5 separate regions of the Mus musculus genome follow, and regions 2, 3, 4 and 5 are each reported to be linked to region 1. The links are microRNA targets in miRTarBase. Many come from high-throughput screens and were not tested one by one. Region 1 holds a microRNA gene; each other region holds the end of a gene's coding sequence.
The links. The annotated mature microRNA mmu-miR-3066-5p reads UUGGUUGCUGUAGAUUAAGUAG and lies in region 1 at 2,106-2,127, opposite strand. An mRNA with a match to its seed (bases 2 to 7 or 8) in the 3' UTR can be bound and repressed. Matches are read on the target gene's strand: a 7mer-m8 pairs with bases 2 to 8, a 7mer-A1 pairs with bases 2 to 7 and ends in A, and an 8mer does both.

Region 1 (4,121 bases):
GTTACAAGAACTGAACAAACTGTTGGCTTCCTTATCTTGTATAAATAAGGAGACGAAGGCAAACATGCCTAGGCTAACATCAGTAATCAGAACCACAGATCGCGACCATAAGGTACCTAACAAAGGGTGACTGCTACCAATCCCTTAGAATAAAGGTGAGGCCTGGAGACACTGACAACCAACTTGACGTTAGGGTGAGCAAAAGTTCACTCCCAGTGTTTTGTTTTTCTTTTTTTAAAGATACTGTACATCATACATGTACTTGGCCGAAAAATGACAGAAAATGATATATTACCTATTATTACACAGTGATTTTTTTTTTTTATCGCTGGGAATTATCTTAAAAATATTTACTACAAAAATAAGTCCCAGAGCCAGAGACACAGTTCAGCAGTTAAGAGCACTTGCTGTTCTTTCAGAGAACCTGGGATCAGATCAGCAGCTCACAATCCCCTGAGGATCTGATGCCCCCTCTGGCTTCCAAGGGCAACTGCACATGCACGGCGTTCACTGTCAAAGACACACACGTGCATATAAATAAAAATAAAAAGTAAATATGCTATAAAACATACCTTTGAATAGTCATCTGATAAAATCTCAAAGGTGACAACTGAAAAATAGGAAAAAAAAAAAACCACAATTATCAACCAGTGTTTAAACAAAACCACAAACTTCAGGTGAGGATTCTAATTGTTTTTGTTTTAAATGTATTCACCATTGCTCTCTTCAGATACACCAGAAGAGGGCATCAGACAGATGGTTTTGCGCACCCATGTGGTTACTGGGAATTGAACTCAGGACCACTGGAAGAGCAATCAGTGCTCTTAACCACCGAGACATCTCCCCAGCCCTCTTAACTGGTTTAACTGGTGAATAATTATATATAATTGCTGTGTTTGTCCTACCTCTCCATGCAACAAGAAGAACATCCCCACTAATACTAAATGGAAAGTTATTACTTACATCTAGATTTTTTTTTAACAGAACTAAAGTAAATTTAGGATGATCCTAAACATTTTTGCCATAATTTTGCTGAGATGTTCTTAGTAGTTTTAAGATTTTGAAATATAATCTAAACAGCAGCCTTTAAAATGGGACCCCAGGCTGGGTGTTCCTGTGGTGGTGCAGGACTTTACTCCTAGCACTTGGGAGAGAAAGAAAGACCTCTGCGAGTCTAAGGCCAGTCTGGTCTAGATAATGAGTTCTGAACCTGCCATGACTGCAAAGAGAAATCCTGTCTCAAACAAACAAACAAACAAAAAAAAAAAAAAAGAAAGAAAGAAAGAAGGCAACAGTAACTCTTCGCCTATACCAAGTTTACCTCTACACAAAAACATTGTAAAAGATGTGTTATTAATAGCATACAAAGTTTCTATGTTCTCTAGCAGCAAGGGTGAGACTAGGAAGGTATGCTGGTTATTCTACACAGCGCTGTATCCCATTTACTTCTCTCCCATTGTTCCTAAAACACTGGTTAACTGATAATAACTGACCCTTGCCATTTTACCTTGCTGTCTGTATTAGACAGAATTCTCAAAATGCCCCCTGTGACCTTCACAGGGCACCAGGCCCCTGCTGAGAGTAGATGCTCCCTGAGGTTCCATTATACAATATGACCAAGGGAAGATTTGTTTAATCACATGAACCTCTTAAAAGAAGAAGTCTCTCGGGGAGGGAGATAGGACTCGGTGGTTAAAAGCATTTGTTCCAGAACACCCAGGTTCGAGCAAGTCCCAGCACCCACATGCACCACATCTGTAACTCCAGTCTATGTGGATCAGATGCCCTCTTCTGGCCTACTATGGTATCAGGCACATGCATAGTGCACAGATATGCAGGCAAAATACCCATACACATAAGATTTTTTTAAAAAATGCTGGCAGCCTTATAAAGCAAATGGAGTCCAGCTGAGACCCAGCAAGAAGGGAGACACTACCTTCCAGACCCATAGTCCCATAGCCATACCTTTGTGAGGCTGGAAGCCTACTCTAGACCAGCCTTAAAGGTAAGAGCCCACCTGGCAGATCCCCTGAGAGAAGCCCTGTGCGCAGCCCAGAGCATGGCCAGTGCAGGTTGCGGTCTATTAAGTGCAGCATCATATTAAACTACTTAATCTACAGCAACCAAAACATACCACACTACTCACTCCCATTTTAAAGAGCAGTACAATAGACAATTATGAAAAGCTATTTATGAACTCAGGGTTGGCCTCTTACCTTCAGAATCCAAGCACCTTTCAAACTTCAGGGATAACTGATATGTGTCATAACACCGGACCCGAGGCTTATATGTTCCTATAAAAAAAATTAGCATGATGCAAAACCAAAGTTGCATAGCCACACCTTATACAACTGCTTTGTGCTCTTTCTGTCCTGAGGTAAGATAATTATCCTCAAATCAAAGAACCACAGAGAATGAAATTAAAATACCTTAGAAGAGTCACAGTAATCCAGCGAAGAAGACAGAAACAATCAAACAGCTTGACAAGACAAAAAAGGATGCTTAATATTTGTGTCAGTCAACTTCCCTGATAATGTCCAATACATGTAAGGTATGTGACAGAAATTCACCTTGAAACTGTATTTCATTTTACACCACTAGGACTACAGAAACCCAGCCACAAGCATAACAGCTACAGGAAGAATGTCACTGCACCTTGTGTCACACACGGCCAAAGATTAAAAGCAAACAGGCTCCACTGATAGGGCCTTGCTTAAATAAACGGTGGTAACCCCCACCAGGAAACATGGTGCACACAAAGATGAGCAGAGCCGCAGCACCAATAACAGACTCCCAATGTGTGCCGTGCAGTTGGTTCTCTCTGTCCACCACGTGGAGTCCAGGGATGGAACTCAGGCTCCTCAGCCAGCACCCTTACTGGCTGAGCCACCTCAGCAGCTCCCAAATGGTAAGAGAAGTGAGTTCGAAGACTGCAACACAGTACATATAATCCCAATTCTGTGAAGCTAAAGGCAGCTGCATAGAGATGGTGAGTAGAGAAAGTGTAGACACAGCAACTGCCTAGGGATGCTCACATCTTACGTCACGTTCTTCTATAATGTTTGCATGCCATATAATGTACCATGCTTGCATTGCAGTGAGGAAAAATAAAGATAACTTTGTTGTTGTTGGTTGTTTGTTTTTCAAGACAGGGTTTCTCTACGTAACCCTGGCTGTCCAGGAACCCGCTCTAATAGACCAGGCTGGCCCCAAACTCAGTGATTTACCTGCCTCTGCCTCCCAAGTGCTGGGATTAAAGGCGTGCGCCGCCGCCGCCACCACCACCAGGTAGGCTTTACTTTTATCTTAGAGACTTTTCATCAATGATGAACATCAATAATGAACATTGATAGTCCCAGAACCGAAGTTTTGATTGTAATTGCTTTTAATTTAAATATCTCTGTACAGCTAGTGACTGTTATGGGACAGTGTGGTTGGGTGTAGGGTCCTCTTGTTTACCTCCACTCTGGCCCTTTCCTTGGAGATAGAAGTGGATTTAGGAATCCACTGCTGTCTGCTTAGGGTGGTAGAGCTAGGCCTTTCATCTCTGGCTTCTGCCACTGCCTCCATCTTTGTCACTGCTCTAGGACTTGTGGCTAAAAATAAGTTGGATAAAATTTGTTCCTGGAGATTGAAACGTCAAGACAGGGACATTTACTATCCACAGGAATCAGACCAGGGCATGTGCAAGCTGTGACCGGTCACAGAGCTAAGCAGCCTCTTGGCTTCTTTTGGAAACATTCAGTTTAGAGTCAGGCCAGATTCACACGTGCTCCTTTCCTTCTCTTCAGTGCTGGGGACCAAACCCTGGTGATGCATTTTTAATCTCAGCACTTGGGAGGCAAGGGCATCTCTGTGCGTTTGAGGCCAACCTGTTCTACACAGCCAGGTCTAAGACAGCCAGAGCTGCATAGTGTGAGCCTGTTTACATCAAATAGTAACAAAACCCTACCACTTGACCTACCCCAAAGAGCACTGGGCCCATCTTTCAGTATCTCTGGATCTAGAAGACCTGAATTAAAGGTCTAAGTTCCTTCCAGCTCTCAGTAACTGTGTCCAAACATCTCAGGTCTTCTCAACTCTCTTTCCCAGTTTCTCAAAATAAAAACAGAGGCTGAAGG
Region 2 (4,121 bases), not on the chromosome of region 1:
CGGATCACAAATCACTAAGACTCAAGACTTGCCTTAGGTCAATCCGATGGAGACATTTTATAACTTGAGGCCCCTCTTTCCAGTTGACTCTAGTTTGTGTCAACTTGATAAAACAAACCCCTACAAGAACAGTTGGTTCTCTGCTTGTACCATGTGTATGGCTTAATGTCATCAGTCCCAGCAGCAAATGCTTTACACTTGAGTCCTTTCACTGGCTCCTGATTTTTTTTCATTTTCATTTGTTAGGGGGCTTTTTTGTTGCTGTGTTAATTTCTCACAATTTTATTGCTACTGCTCTCTACCACCATTTTATGCTTCACTCACAGTATGTATAAACTCAAAAGATTAAAAAAATTACTTAAATCTATTAAATTGCTCTAACTTCAAAATTACTACCTTGAGGTTTATATTTTCAAAAGGGGTGCTATATATTCTTTGCCACTGACAGTTAAAATTTCCCCTTTTATCTAGTAGTACCTTGACTTGCATCTTGATTTGCTATTTTTCTAATTGTTTCTGGCCTACTGCCTGCTCACTGAAGCTGTGCTGAATCCAACCTCTGTAGCCTAACTTTGCAAAATGGCATTCCATAGTAAGCCTCCCCAGGTCTTCTGTTAAGATTCTTAAGGTCACGATCACTGGAGCTGCAGAAGAACTCTAAACCTAGAACTACCGTGGCTGGATGTGGCATTCAGAGGGAACGGAATCAAGACTGCCGAGGGCTGAGGCATACCTGTTGCTATAGGTTACTCTGAGCTGATGGCCATTACAGTCAGTCACCATCTCACTGTCACCACGGGAAAGTGTCCGTGGGGATCTGTGCAAGCCCAGTATTAGAGTCTGAAACCGGATTCTGTACTTTCTTCCTTTGTCCCCACGGAGAGCATGTATCTTCATGCTCTGCTGTTGAGATGTGGGCAAGTGTAACCTAAGTAATGCACAGCTGTCTTTCTATCATTCCCAACTTAGGATGCTGCAACCAGGCTTGCTTGATACACGTCAAGGTATTTTCACATACAATGAATGATTTAAGTGGGTGTTCATGCTGGGAGATAGAAACAGGAGAGACCAATTCTCATAATTCAATTCAGGCATTTGGATGGCATTGAATATGAGCTCAAAAAAGCTTAAAATTCTTTTCTAAATTCACTCTCCTTAAAATGCTTCAGTTGGAATGTGATAAAATATATCAGGATAAATTCATTTTTATTTGAAAAGAGTCAACTACAAACCTCAACGAAACCAAAACAACCAACCATTCTATGACTCCAGGAATTAACAAGAGACCTACAAAAAAGTATGACTTGTTTCTTCATGAAAATCACTAAATTTAACCCAGAACATGATTCTTTGGTGGTCCTGCCAACTCAGGGCAGCTCCTAGTCCCAAGTTCAAACCAGGGTGAAGAAAGACCCTGTAAATAAGATATGTGTGCCAAGAATGATGCACCCAGAGGCTCAGGTGGAAGGATGTCAGTTGGAGGCTAGCCTAGGCTACAAAACAGAACTTTCTGGAAAGGACTCCAAACTAAACAAACAACAAAAAACAAGCAAACAACAAAAGAACCCACCCCAAGAAAAATATAAAAAAGGCTTATCCTCATTTCACCAGAGAACTCAGCTGCCTTGATGTAGTACTGACTAAATCGGATCGCAATGATCAGCCGCTTACTAGCCTAAAACTGTTGGCTACTCTGCAAGATACAATCAGTGTGATCTTTCTGTGATATGAGAAACCCAGAGGACGTTGATAATCACTTCATGAAATATCCTAGGTTTACCAGACATACAGAGCAGAAAATTCTCCAGCTAATTATATCTACACTTGGTTATTAAAGTCTTTGCATACACACAAAGTAGAAGCAATAAAACCAACTAAACTCAAAAGCCACAGTAAACTTGCTATATAATTTACTGAGACTGGGATTCAATTTGGATGTCGATAGTGAAACAGCACTTTTATGTTGAATAGTGATGAAGCTGAAACTTTACATAATACAAGATACAAAACTGTGTAGTCACTTTGAATTTTGAAGGCTTGAAAAAAATTGTCCTAAAACCTAATTGAGGTAATTACACAATTTTAAAAAGGGGGTGGGGGGGTCTTTGGTATCTATATTTACAATGGATATGTTTTATAACATGAAAATTACAGCTCTATGGGACTGTAAAAATGTCTGAAGTCAGGTTAGATAAAACACCGATGTTTTTCCATATGTGTATGCATGAATATGTAGAGAATGAGGGCACAAGAGAGAAAGAACAAACACATGAACATGAGTGACAATGGAGACAGCAAAAAGCAGTGAAAATTAAAACCTGTTGGTCTTAATCAATATAATGGAGCTCTATCAACATTTTTCACTTTGAAATTGTGAAATTTGTGTGTATCAAAAATTTAACATTAAAAAAGGTCAAAATATCATGTAACAAGGTCCCTTTAATTATATCTATCTTCTTTAATAAGGACCATGAACATCCTCAATAAGAAAACAATGTAATTTTAATAGTTCCTTCAAGAATGTAACTTGGTTGTAACACCAATAAAATGCACTCACACTATGGTCTACTGATCTGAATATGAAATTACCTTGTAAACCCTATAATGTGCAGATGGAACAAGCCTTCCAATTCTGACAAGGCGACAGAGAAAGATCATTTTTGAAAGGAATTGAGTTTTTGGTTTCATTTTGATTTTGAGATTCAATGTAATTATACAGATATTCAGAATATAATGTTACTTGTTTACTTCATAAAATATTGTTGTTCTGAAACAAATCTTGTCAGTGAGATAGTAATATTTGAAAAAATGGGCATACATGCTGCATTTTTAATCCATTACAATCATTTAAATTCTGAGTATATCGTCATATTTACAATTCAAATAGTTTCTTTTAAAGGCCATTTTACAAGGTCAATCAAGAACATAATTAAGTACATCTCAATGGCATTTCTACTAATGTAAGTAGAAATGATTTATCCACAGCATTGTTTTCCCCACAGAGAAATGTTACTATCAGGAGATGGTAGCTTTTCAAATTTACCTTCCAAAAAAAAAAAAAAAAAAAAAAAACCTTACCAATAGATAAAGGCACAATTTTTACTCACTTGGAGTAATTACCCACAAAATGATTGCTTGCTTTCAACATGATTGATTGACATTTTTCAATGTCTTTCTTTAATCCTGACAGTTCTTTATTTATCCTTTCACGTATTTGCTATGAGTTACTAATCTCCAATGGTATCATCACAGGAATAACCAAAATCAAATAATGGGACAGAAGATTGACAAAGTGTTTCACATCCTTGAATTATATACCAAGTCAGGAGTGGGGGTTGAAAAATGTTGCAAAGGAGACTGCAGGACTAAGTATATTCTTGTAATAAAACCAGCAATATCAACAGAGTTATCATCTCACTTCCAATTTCTTTCCCTCAAGAACAATTTGAATCTCTTTGGCATCCAAAGTCTCATAGGTCAGCAATGCTTCTGCCAGGTTCTTATGTTCTTTCGCATGTGTTTTCAAGATATGTTTTGCTCGTTCATATGACTCCTGAAAGAGAAAAACAAGTCATATAAGAAAGTATAGAGATGCAAAAAACATAGGTAAGAAAAATATAAAACTAATGTGGTTTAAAAAACATGTTGATTATGGCCTAGTCGGCCATCACTGGAAAGAGAGGCCCATTGGACACGCAGACTTTGTGTGCCCCGGTACAGGGGAACGCCAGGGCCAAAGTGGGGGAGTGGGTGGGTAGGGGAGTGGGGGTGGGTGGGTAAGGGGGACTTTTGGTATAGCATTGGAAATGTAAATGAGCTAAATACCTAATAAAAAATGGAAAAAAAAAAAAAACATGTTGATTTATACTTTAAAAAAGCATTTAAAAGTTTTGTTTAAAATGCAAATTATTTGTACATAATATAAATAGTATATGCAATGCATTACAATAGAAGAATTCAGAAAATGTTTCAAAAGAGCCTTTGCCTTTCCAAAATGTTCATTTTGTCAGTTTTAACTACTAAGGCATTTCTTTTTTTTACCCCCCAAAGCAGCTAAAGCCTGGCTGTGTCCTTGGAAACCTGCTTTCCTGAAGTTCTTACTCTCATGCTAGATGCTTCCC
Region 3 (4,121 bases), not on the chromosome of region 1:
ATCAAATCACCAGCAGGTTACAAAGCCCTCAGCCCCAGGGATTGGTAGATAAGTCACCTGACCCTTGTTATGCAAAGGGGTCAAGAAACCAAAGCTGCTAGCATGTGCCAGGCTTTGGGCTTCTATCCCCAGCAGGGTGAGAAAGCACCGAAGTTTGTTGCTCTCTTGGCCAGACAACTACTACCATGTGAAATGTAAGGGGTTTCTCTTGGTGAAGTTTACGATTGGACTGGGAATGGGCTATGTGCACACGTGCTAGGCTTGTGCTTGTGACTGACAGAATGGTGCTAGGGTTCCTTAGCACAGCAGTGCTGGGAACTCAGGAACTTCCCTGGCGGCTTTGTGCTAAAGCTCCTCGAGCACGTGTAAAGCGAGGGGTGTAGACTGACTACTCACTAATGGTGCTTGTTTCTCAACAGCGAGAACTTTCAAAGGCTTCCAGATCTGATGCTACGTCTCGAATCCTCAATTCAACCAACATCCAGTCCTGAGAGTCCTTGTCCAGTTAGGCAGCTGGGGCTTCCTGTGCCTGGACTGGACTGACGGATACGTAGACAAGGAGTGACATATACATTTCCATCAGTTTAGATGTTTGAAACTACCTTGGGCAGGTTCTATTAACTGCACCTAACTCAGACGTGAGTAGGACAGAAGGAAGCTGTCCCGGGCGAACTGAGGTCACAAAGACTTGCTTTTGATTCAAGAGAGACCTTAAAGGCTAGTTATGATAGTTAAGTACAAGTTTTAACATCTGGTAGCTAACTTTTTTTCTCTACCCCGTAATTCTACTATGACTGCTCTTCTAGAGGTCCTGAGTTCAAATCCCAGCAACCACATGGTGGCTCACAACCATCTATAATGGGATCTGATGCCCTCTTCTGGTGTGCAGAAATAATTTTTTTTTTAATTCTACTTATTTCAATACTATATATTAGAAAATGAAAAAACGATTGTGGCCTGCTTTGGCATACAGGGGTACAAGACATGAAGTAATTCTGGTAACATCTAAAAATATATATATTTTTGTTCGCGGACATTTGATTAATGCTGTAGCTATGGAAGCTTTGATGTCACCCAGAGGCGTGTACCTGGCTGGCACTATCCCAGTGAGGGTTTCTTGAGTTCCAGTATGAGATGGCCTGACCTGCTGCCAAAAAGAGTAGCAGTCATTTCTGTAGTGCAATTTCTTGAGGTATATGTGTGAACACACATGCTTGTCTGACCTGTTGAGTTTTTCTCCAGTCTCCCAACCCTGTGCTCATTAGGCCCAGTCTGTTCCCTGTAGATGACAACCACATAGAGAGGCTGTCTGGTGGGCTGGGCCATTCCTGTCATGGAGTCAGCAACTTTGCACATCTACAAGTTATCTGTGTAATCACGTCCACAATGAGGCTCTCCAAACCCATCACTACTCTTCCCCAAAGCACTATATTTATTCTGTCTGTCTGTGCCAGTTCTGCCCACACTGACTGATCTTGAAAACCTGTCAGTCTGCTCTTCACACACATATATGTTGTTTTTAAATGTATGAAAATAAAATGTGTATAGTTACCTTTTAAATACTACACTGTTTTGTCTTCAATGGTTGCTTTGATCTATAGATTAAACTCACTAAAAGGCGAAGTGCAAAGGATTTAGAAGTTTCAAGAGTCTCAGAATAGTTTGGATTTACTCTTTTTCATTTGGGGATATTTTCTCATTTTGCAGCTATTAAAGCCTCTGGGCTGGGTATAGCTAAGCTGTTGGTGCACGTGGAAGGCCTGGCACTACTCCAGAAATTAGATATAGATATATATACATATACATGTATATATTTACATACAAAAATATTTATATATATATATAAATATAAATTGAAGATATATATATCTTCAATTTATATTTATATTATTATTTATACATTTATTATTTATTATTTTTTATTTATTTATTATTATTTATTTATTATTTATTATTTATTTATTATTTATATATATATATATAAATATAAATTGAAGATATATATATCTTCAATTCTTTCATACATGCCTTGTAAGCTTTGTCTTATTCTGAAATCATGCACCTTTAATCCCAGCACTTAGAAGGCAGAGGAGATCGCTGTGAACCTTGTTTCAAAACTTAGGTTTCCATGCACCTAGGACAGCATGTTGAAGCAGAGTTCTTTCTCACCCAGGCACATAAGTGGGGATCCACTAAGGGATAGTTCAGCTTTTGTCTCTTTCCATTGCATAGACATAGGTATTCCAGGGTCCACATGTCACAGCCCTTACTTCAAGTTGTCTTTCTACAAAGTACTCCACACAGCAGGGTCGATCCAAGCTGGTGCTGTCCTTGTGGCCAAGCTGTCCGTATTTACCTAGAATGAAAGGAAGCCCTTCCTCTTCTAGGCCTTGCTGCTTTCCCCTCAGAAAGATGCCAGCCCACATACTGCCTTGAGAGCTATACACAGCCTGATGGGTCTTGTGTGGATTCTGAAAACTTAAGCCCAAGCCAACTGTGGGGTCCCCGGAGAAGTCTCTGCTACCTACATCAAGATGAGAACAGCTCCTTCACCCTGGCCATCTTATTTCTCTCATGTCTGCCCTTGGGCCTCCTAAGTGTATCTGTTCTCCCACCCAAGGGAGAGCGTTTTTTTTTCAGTCCTCCCATTGCTCAGGCTGCGACCCCTGCCCCTCTAGTTTGTGTAACTTGGTCATGACCTGTTCTATTTTCTCTGGTCCTTCCCCTTGATTTAATGATCAGGAAACTTTTTACTTACCCCAGCCCCAGGTATAGAGTTCTCCTGTGCCTGCAACCAAAGAGACAGTGAGTAGCTGCCATCTACTGTTCTGCTCCCAGCAAGATACCACTCAGCCTGGCACAAGTCACAGACAGCAAGCTGGGATTATGCTCTATCACATGTGGGCTGGTAAAATGCCAGGGATCAAAAAGCTGAACTTTCTAGGTACCAACTGGCCTCAATACATGGAGTCACACCCTCTGTGGGACAGGTTTTCTGCCCACAACTGATTAACCAACCACCTTTTAGAAGAACATATTGGCCTAAAGCTGTGGAGTCAACCTTTTTTTTTCGTTTTTTAAAGATTTGTTTACTATTTTATGTATATGAGTACACACTGTAGCTGTACAGATAGTTGTGAGCCTCCATCTGGTTGTTGGGAATTGAATTTAGGACCTCTGCTGGCTCTGATCCAACCTCCTCACTCCAGCTGGCCCTGCTCACTCAGGCACAAAGATTGATTTATTATAAATATAGTCAGATCTCATTACAGGTGGTTGTGAGCCACCATGTGGTTGCTGGGATTTGAACACAGGACCTTTGAAAGAGCAGTCATTGCTCTTACCACTGAGCCATCTCACCAGCCCCCTTTTTTGTTTTATTACAATGGTTCTCTCCCTTCCTAATGCTGAGACACCTCAGTACAGTTTCTCAGACCTCAAAGCTTCAGTCTCCTGCCTCATTCCAAGGGTTAGTATTGGAGGTGAGTGCCACCTTTCCCAGCATGAAACTTTTCTTTTTTTTTTTTAATTATATATATATTTTTTAAAAGATTTATTAATTTTTATGTATATGAGTACACTGTAGCTGTGCAGATGGTTGTGAGCCACCATGTGGTTGCTGGGATTTGAACTCCGGACCTTCGGAAGAGCAGTCGGGAGCTCTTAACCACTGAGCCATCTCTCCAGCCCTAAATTCAGCTTCCTTAACAAACCATCAAATATATAGTTCCTCCATGTTGATTTAAAAAATAATAAGCTGGGCAGTGGTGGTGCGCGCCTTTAATCCCAGCACTTGGGAAGCAGAGACAGGCAGATTTCTGAGTTCCAGGCCAGCCTGGTCTACAGAGTGAGTTCTAGGACAGCCAAGGCTGTACAAAGAAACCCGGACTAGAAAAAAAACCCAAAAACAAGAAAGAAAGGAAGGAAGGAAGGAAAACATAGTAGTGATGTGCTTGCTTAGCTCAGTAGAGGCCCTGGACTCATCCCCAGCACATGATGGGGTCTATAATCACAGCTGCTCCAAAGCCTGACAACTGCTTCAGTCCAGGAGTTTCAAAATAATTCTGTATAAATGGAGACTCTTTCTAAAATTAAAAATGGGCAGGCATGGCAAGCTGCAG
Region 4 (4,121 bases), not on the chromosome of region 1:
TTTCCACTCAGCTGATTCAGAGGAACAAGTCTAGGCACCAGGACTGTTCTGGTCATCTAGCTGTGCACAGAACAGGCCCTGCTACAATAAGAGGAAATGCCTACACGTAACAGACCATGCCGCACCAGACCATGCCGCGCCTCTGCACTACAAAGCTGGAAAGATATTTGAGAACATGCAATAGCTGCTATCCTCACAACCACTTCTTAGATTTTTCAACTCCAGTATCTGGAGATGCATAGACACACACACACAGACAGACACAAATATACACACACAGGTTTATAGACAGGCACAGAAAGACATACAGACACACACAGAGACATCCTTTTTTTTTTTTTTTATAAACATAGTGATCTGGTTTCAGAAAGTGGCGACTCTTTTTTTTTTTCCTTAAGATTTATTTATTATATTTGGGTACACTGTAGCTGTTTTCAAACACACTGTAGGCTGTTTTCAAACACACCAGAAGAGGGCATAGGATCCCATTACAGAGGGTTGTGAGTCACGGTGTGGTTGCTGGGATTTGAACTCAGGACCTTCGGAAGGGCAGTCAGTGCTCTTAACTGCTGAGTCATCTCTCCAGCCCCATAAACAGACACATACACACACAGAGGCACAGACAGACACACAGAGAGAGATACACAAATACACACACAGACTCATACACACAGGCCACATCTTTTATCTAAAATCTTCACAAAGGGAATAATGTGTTTCATAAAACATTTAAAATGCTTTAGGCAACAGAACTCTCTTGAAACCTCCCTCCCCCAAGTGTTTAACAGACAAATGTAATTGGAAATGTTTGGAACATGAGCACCCACACTCTTTAATTTGGAATTATGCAAAATGTGATCATTATCCACTCCAAGCTGAAGCAATGCTGTGCAGCTGGAAGAGCAAGCCTGTGAACTATCAGGTGTGAGTTCAAGTCCTGCTCATCTGGGCCAGGGTAACCCTTACGGTCTGACCCTGGAAGGTCTGTTTAGAGGAAGTGGCCTTGCATGTTTTACATTTGAGAAGCTATTTAGCTGCGCTGTTTGACAAGATTTTTGAGAGGGATGAAAATTAATTATACTTGCAGTATTGCAATGCTGATTTGGTCAACTAATTAGATTCTATGAAAAAACAGGCAAGAAGAATTGGTTCCGCTGGGCCTTCTGTGATGTGGCAGCCCCTCATTCCAAGACTAATGAGATTGCTTCTTGGTGTTTTGTTTTATTTTGTTTTGTTTGGCCAAACCTTAAATATCTGGAATTCTACAATTGAGCTAATTTAAGGCTTCGTGTGAAATAAGACATCATGTCTGGGGACACAGCTCCGTTCCTCCACAGACTTGAACTGGGTTCTAGCTCTCCTTCAAAAATTATTAGAGGCCTCCCCTGACTTGTTTGGCCTTGTTTTAACTTGGGGCACCAGTGAGACATGGGTAAGTTTAGGCAGGACATTTGGCAAGCTTAATACCACCACTCACTAAGGAGCCCGTGTCCCTGGAAGAGGCACCGTGAACCTCCAGGGAAGGGCAAACGTTTGTGTGAAGTGACCGGTCTAATCTCAAAGCTTTCACACAAGCAGTTCTGTATGTGGGAACTGCCTGATGCTTTCTGAGACAAGGATCTAACTTCAGAGCAGCAGCGAGCACCCAGAGTTAAAAATCTTCTTCTAGGCAGAGTCCGCTCATTGCTTTATCATCTTAAAGAGTCTCTCCAAGGTCTAATTCAAGGTCATTTCTGCCTCATGCTAGCAATAACAGACATCCGGCTCATCCACAGCCTGATCAAGTTCCATTCAGTGGGAAGCTCTGGGACAATTTTCTCCTTCTCTGTCTTACTTAAGTCCAACCACCCGTGTATATGTAACAAAGATCTTGCAGGGTCATGTCACACTCCCACAAACAGGGAACATCAAAGTGGGCCCTTATAGCACAGCATGGAGTATGTCCTGTGCTCTTTACCTAAATTCTACCTGATTGGTACAATAGGTAGATCCATCTGAGAGACCGCATTTATCTTGTTACAGTCCAGGACGTCTGGCTACACTTGCCAGCTGAGATCTTGCTCAGACTGCAGCCTGAGGGAAGGTGCCTTTCTAAAATTCATACTATTGTCAAGGGAGACCCTAGGTTATCCTTGACCCTCACCTTCCCCAGATGTGCCTTTAAGGAAAAGGCTGTGCCCATGAGTTCTCTATTCATCGAGAATAAACAAAGGGGGAGGGATTCCATAAAGAATAGGCAGTAAAGAGGTCACCCTTCTGCCTAGGAAACCCTGGCTCCACCCCCCTCTCTGGACACAGCTGCAAAGGGTAGAAAATCAATTTTTTCCCATTACTTCACAGTGAAGAGTAAAAACCTATTTGTAAATTGAATTAAACCCAATAAAAACACGTCTGCGTATTTGTTGAAGACTAGAAAAATTAGCCACAGACACACAGCTAAGAACGCAGCCATGAAACTAGAAATCAGTATGTCCTATTTCAAACTTTGTCGAGACAGTTCCCGCCCCCCGCCTTTTTTTCAAGAAATACCCATAGCTAAATGTCACCAAGATTCTTCAGCATGCCGTCATATCAGAGCCTCAGTGAGACTCTGGGAGAGAAGGGACACCAGTCTTTGTTTAGGCAGATGGCTGCTTCGGAATTTGTACCGAGTAAGTCAGTAAGTAATGGATATGAGCTGGACCCCGCCTGACAGAGCCTGATTTCTTCCCAAGTGGCAATCTGGGGTGCTCAATGTGGACTTCATTCCCTGTCCCTGTGCAAGCGAGGTCTTGCTTATAAAAACCCTACCCCGGCCACGCAGTCTGTGCATCCCGAAACCTCGTTAGCAGTCTGCCCTCTAGTGGAGCAAGGAAGGACTTCAGTAGCTAGGGCTCCAAAACATCCTTTCCCTTTTCTCTTCGAGAGCGGAAAACAAAAACAAAAACAAACAAACGGACAAAAAAACAGCAACAAAAATTCAAGTTTTCCAGATAGTGCAAGGCGAGGTGGTCATCAGAAGACAACTTCCAGGGCTGAGTCCAGGGAAACTCATGCTGATCGGTCCCAAGAACAGGGAGCAGTTGCCACCGCCACTGGGGGCGTCCCCACAGCCCCTGCAGGGACTTTGTGAGCCCCCTCCAGGGCTCTCCTTGTGTGACAGCATTCAGTTATCCACTCTGTCGCGGCACAAATAGCACCCGTAAAGAGTGACCAGCACGTCAGGAACACTGTAATAGCCTTTTTGTGATTTTTCTGACAAGTCTAGCACACGGTTGAGTGTCTGAAAGGGGCCACTAGGAATATTAGAAAAGGCAAGGATGCACACGTTCTATAAGAAGACACAGTCGTTGTGGCTGCGACGTTTAAGAGGACAGTCTACTCATGATGTTGGCCGGATGCTGGTCTGGCAGAAGTAACCTGGAGATGTGGGGCTTTGTTTCCAACTCTTTAGAATTTAGCTTGCTTTAGCTTGTCAATGTGATAGCAGAGTTTCAGTGCGGGTCCCAGCTTCAGTCCCAGGTACTTCATGATCATGTCGCTCCTCAGCAACAACAAGGCATTGCCATCAATCTCCTGGAGAGAAGGGAAAGCCAAAGGACAGTCAGAGCAGCCAAACGGTAGTTATGGCCCCGTGGGTGCCCCGCGGGTGCTCCAGGGGCACTTTAAGGACAGGTGAGTAGATTAGAGCGCGCATACTACTTGTTCTGGGAAAGCTCTTGGAAACAAAGCAAGCAACTACGAGGCCCTCGTCTTCCCAGCCCCTCCGGAAACTCAGTTGCTACCTTGCACCTTTCAGATTCCTGCCCTTGTTTGATTGAAGCAGACAGTTTCGCCTGCATTCCTACTATCTCATGTATATGTCATCTATCCAGGTAAAGACAGAGAGAGCCACAGACAGGTCAGCCTGAGGAGGACCAGGGTCGATGATCCTGGCTTTAAAGAGGGTCGTGAAGCTGAGAAAGGCAGGCAAGCAGATTGTCCCTAGAACACCTAGACACGAATTTATCCCTGCCAACGCCTGAGATCCAGGCAGGCTCCAGACCCACAGAAATAGAGATAAGAGATGTCTCTTGTCTAAAGACCCTGGATTTGTAGCAATTCGTTATACTACCAATCCAGAATTAATATCGTAAGCTGGG
Region 5 (4,121 bases), not on the chromosome of region 1:
GGAGATAGAGAAGGGGACCGGGGTAACATGGTCCTCTTACAAGCTCCCAGGCCACCCACACCTGGTGGCAGCTCAGGTAGCAATGGAGGCAGGTGATGACCTAAGCTGTTGCTAGGTCTCTGTTGTTAGGTCCCTGGGAGGAAACCAGAATCACCTGTAAGCCAATAGTGTCCTTGGCTTCCTTCCCACAGGCTGGTGACATGGCTCCCTGATATCCAGGATGATATCCAGTGGCTACAATGGGCGACATCCCAGGTTTGTGCCCGAATGACGATGTGCCTGCTCCCCTCTACCAGGTAAATACTTGGGCCCAGGGTGTGTGGGCCAGATAGGCATCCCTCCCGGTTGTTCCCAGAGCTCTTAGGGTCAGAGCTTGGGTGGTGACAGCCTTAACAAGCCAGGCTCAGCCGCCTGTCCCCAGCATGCCATTAAAGAAACCGGTAGCAGAGAAAGCAGGTTTATTCGAATATAAAAAGGTTCAAGCCCCCACCCGGTTAATCTTTAAGATACCAACAGGAGGCTTAAGTTTAAACAGAGTTACACATAAACAGTCTGAATCAGGGCGTGGTCCTGCCCACCATTGTCTGGGCTTCAAGGTTCCTTCTTTCTCTCCCTAGCATGAGATTCCTGGGACAATCCCAATTCCTTGGCCTCCATTGTATCAAAGGGCTGAAAACCAAAGGGAAGGCACAGCTGTCTCTTCAGCATGCCTCTTCTGCCAGAACCACTGCAAGGTTTGGTGCTCAGGCTGTGCAAACATTCTAGCAATGTTTGACTCAGTGTCAAGCAGGTGACAAGGAACATGGTGCTGTGTGGGGGGAACCCATGGCCCAGGTGAGGGCTTATTGGTGGGTGAAGCTGTGGGTGTTCAGGTGGTGGAGAAGGCCTTAAGGGATGGGACTGACACCTCAGCACTGAAGGCAGGAGGAAGCTGTGGCTCTGGGTTGCACCCCTGCCTGGCTCCACCCTCTCTGGCATCTGTAGAAGTTACAGCTGGTTCTTCCTCTCAGCCCCATGCTCCCAGAAATAAGACTCAGACCCAAATTATAGTTACAAATACCTTGGCCATATAGCTAGGCTCTTCTCAGACTAGCTCATAACTTAACTCATTAATTTTAACCTCCATCCTGCCACATGGCTGGTGGCCTGTGCTCAGGTACCATGAGTCCAGCTCTTCACATCTTTCCGGATGAATCTTCCATAATTCTTTCTGCCTCCTGGATGTTCCACCTTCTATTCCACCTTTTCCTATAGGCCATGGTTTTGTTTTTGTTTTTTTTTTCCAAATTTAATTTAATTAATTAATTTATTTATTTTTGGTTTTTCGAGACAGGGTTTCTCTGTATCGCCCTGGCTGTCCTGGAACTCACTATGTAAGCCAGGCTGGCCTCAAACTCAGAAATCCGCCTGCCTCTGCCTCCTGAGTGCTGGGATTAAAGGCGTGCGCAACCATGCCCGGTGTGGTTTTTTTTTTTTTTTAATTGACAGGTGGATGCATCTATATAATCCATAACATATTCTCTCTACAGGTATCTATTAGGTTTTGGGTGAGGTGTGGAGTTCTAGGGAACTCTGAGAGAAATTCCTGGGGAGTAAGTGGTTTATCAAGTTGATTGGAGGAGTTTTTAATGCTATGGACAGACAGACAGAAGGACAACAGCATAGTCGGGGCTACCAGGGAGTTCAGGCCCCGGCATCGGAGATAGAAGCAGGATGGGGTCTTTGAAGAGATTCTGAGCCCACACAGCAGAGGAGGGACTCTCTCTTTAGAGCTTTTGAGGATGAGGGAGGTTGACTGCAAGAGCCTACAGCCAGGCTCGAGGCAGGCAGGGGGTGGGGAGCAGGATGTAAACCCCTTCGATGCTGACAGACTCACTTCTGGGGTAAAATATTATGAGATGCCTGTCAGTGTCTGTGAAGAGACCTGAGCAGAGTCTGGATTCTGACATCAATCATGTTCTTACAATACTGAAGACCTGAGAGCCTGCAATCTTGGTTTGTAAATTGCTGGTCTCCGTGCTTCCAGTGAACTTGGACATTCTTCTCATGGTTGGTCCAGGAGAGGCCAAAGCTGAGGGCACCCTGCCTTCCACCCCCAGTCCAGCTTGACCTTTTATCTGGAGCAACAGTGTCTAGATGATGGGTGGGTGAGGGGTGCTATACTGTCTGTCCCTCTGGGAAGGGTTCTGTTACTTTTGGAGGCAGCTAGGAAGTTTCTCTGTGCAGCTGCCCCCTGGTGCTGTGTGGTGACCTCATTGCCTGTGACCCCAGGATCACAGGATCTGGGCTAAAGTGGTAGTCCATAGAAACCAAAGACAATGATTTGGTGTTTAGAAAGCTACTCTTGGTCTGGGTGAAGTCTGGTGCTTAAGGGCTATCACAAAGAGCGTGTCAAACCATCTCTCAGCCTGTGAGTCAGTGGGGAGCCCAAGGGCATCAGTGTTTGGAAACTGGAATCCAAACCGGGCAATCTCGGAAGGAAACTGTTTAGGAATTGTGATGGGACGGGCCGTGGCTGTCTCTGAAAAGGGCCTGCCAGATAACTTATTACTTTTAAGGACACCTTTGGCTCTTACTAATTTATAAAGCATTTTATATAAACACACCAGGGAGTGCATGGTGAACTACACGTATGATCAGTTAAGTGGGGCTAGAATTAGGTAGGGAGAGCATCGGACCTCTGCCTCCTCAACCTCAACTTGCTTGCTTTCTCCACTGGCTCCAAATCTTTGTATAGTCATCAGCCATGACCACCTCTCTCCCTCCCCATCTACTACCAGCAGCGTTAATGGGAATAAGTACCCACTTCTCTCAGGTGTACTATACAGCTGTGGGTGTGGTGTGTGTTTCCTGTAATTCACACTTTAGAAAGGAAACAAGCAAACAAAAGAAACCAGGTGCTGCCCATACTCCTAAGTGTAGACAGTGAAGGTGTGTGTCTCCCATGCCTGAGTCTCCTGGAGGCCTAGTGAGCTCCAGGTTCATGCAAGCACATCAGGAGGAATCATATAATCTCAGCACGGTTGATCCAGATGGGATAAGAAAGGACTCTGGGAGAGAGAATGTGGTTCTAGAGACAAAGTGTCTAGGCTACACAGAAGATAAGACTGTCCCAAGGAAAGAAAAGAAACCAGGAACTAGGGTGCAGCTCAGTTGTCAGAGGACTTCTCTAGGCTTGAAGCCCAGAGTCCAATCTCAGCACCTTATAAACTGTGGAGTGACAGGCAGTGACATCGGCCTGTAATCCCAACACTCAAGCAGTAGAGGCAAGAGGATCATAAGTTCAAGGTCTTCCTTGGCTATTTAGGGAGTTGGAGGTTAGCTCTGGCTACATGAGACCCTGTCTCAAAAAAAAAAAAAAAAAAAAGTAGAAACTTCTGCCTTGCTTTGAGCTGCCCCTTTCTGGACGTTTCTCATCAGTAGAGAATATTCCTGCCACCCTATCAGACAAAACTCCCACTGGTTTGGAGTCTCTCCATTCTCAGGAACACCTCAGGAGTCAGACAGTGAGCAGCAGGGAGCAATGTCTTGACTTGTAAGCCCCTTAGCAAGGCTGGTTCATTTGTTTATTAAAAGCAGGTGTGGGTGAATTTATGCAAATGAGTATGCAAACTAGTGGAACAGCAGAAGGATTGAATGGATACACCAAAAATAACCACAACTGTTTAAGGGAAAAGGGTCCATAATAAATGTGGGGAACAAAAAACAAATAAATGTGATTTTTTTTAGAAAAATGTATTCTCTGTCTCTTCTGCCTCTCCTACAACTAAAAGGGCCTGTGGGACAGCTTCCTCTATAAGTTTGTGTTCTTCCCTGTAGGCGTGCAGGCTGAATGTCCTCCACACTGCAAAATGACTGGGTTGGTGCTGTATAGCCCCGGCTGGTCTGGAACTATGTAGTTCAGGCTCACCTGCTTTTTCCATTCTCCTGCCTCAGCCTTCCCAGTACCATGTTCACACACAACCACATCAGCTTGGAATGTGCATTTCTAGGAAGCGTTGGGAAAGGACAATGGCATAGTCTCCAGAACCACTGAGGGAAAAGTCTGGAGCAAATAACTGTGACAAAGGGCTGGGTGCGCATGTGACTCTCTCTGGCCACAGGTGAGGCCAGCCCTGAAG

Region 2: miRTarBase lists Yme1l1 as a target of mmu-miR-3066-5p. Seed matches in the 3' UTR shown: 7mer-A1 at 2,528-2,534.
Region 3: the mRNA of Prc1 is a reported target of mmu-miR-3066-5p. Seed matches in the 3' UTR shown: 7mer-m8 at 828-834.
Region 4: the mRNA of Scml4 is a reported target of mmu-miR-3066-5p. Seed matches in the 3' UTR shown: 7mer-m8 at 514-520.
Region 5: the mRNA of Pnpla3 is a reported target of mmu-miR-3066-5p. Seed matches in the 3' UTR shown: 7mer-m8 at 1,446-1,452.

Annotation. Positions count from the first base shown.
Region 1 is chr12:17,353,410-17,357,530 of GRCm38, reverse strand. Mir3066 (microRNA 3066) reads right to left here and starts at 2,139; the gene lies at 2,057-2,139. Nol10 (nucleolar protein 10) reads right to left here. Exons shown (of 21, transcript NM_001008421.1): 4 at 2,217-2,294; 5 at 573-610.
Region 2 is chr2:23,196,320-23,200,440 of GRCm38, reverse strand. Yme1l1 (YME1-like 1 (S. cerevisiae)) reads right to left here. Exons shown (of 19, transcript NM_013771.5): 19 at 1,181-3,553. The coding sequence ends at 3,410. Among named protein-coding and RNA genes, the nearest start is that of Potegl, 9.1 kb to the left of the region's middle.
Region 3 is chr7:80,314,695-80,318,815 of GRCm38, forward strand. Prc1 (protein regulator of cytokinesis 1) reads left to right here. Exons shown (of 15, transcript NM_001374624.1): 15 at 420-1,565. The coding sequence ends at 491. It overlaps Rccd1 (RCC1 domain containing 1), which reads right to left. Exons shown (of 9, transcript NM_173445.4): 8 at 2,759-2,788; 9 at 1,922-2,356. The coding sequence ends at 2,205. Among named protein-coding and RNA genes, the nearest start is that of Rccd1, 7.7 kb to the right of the region's middle.
Region 4 is chr10:42,957,053-42,961,173 of GRCm38, reverse strand. It overlaps Scml4 (Scm polycomb group protein like 4), which reads right to left. Exons shown (of 9, transcript NM_172938.3): 9 at 392-3,555. The coding sequence ends at 3,430. Among named protein-coding and RNA genes, the nearest start is that of Gm5079, 32 kb to the left of the region's middle.
Region 5 is chr15:84,185,786-84,189,906 of GRCm38, forward strand. It overlaps Pnpla3 (patatin-like phospholipase domain containing 3), which reads left to right. Exons shown (of 8, transcript NM_054088.3): 8 at 192-3,736. The coding sequence ends at 300. Among named protein-coding and RNA genes, the nearest start is that of Samm50, 4.4 kb to the right of the region's middle.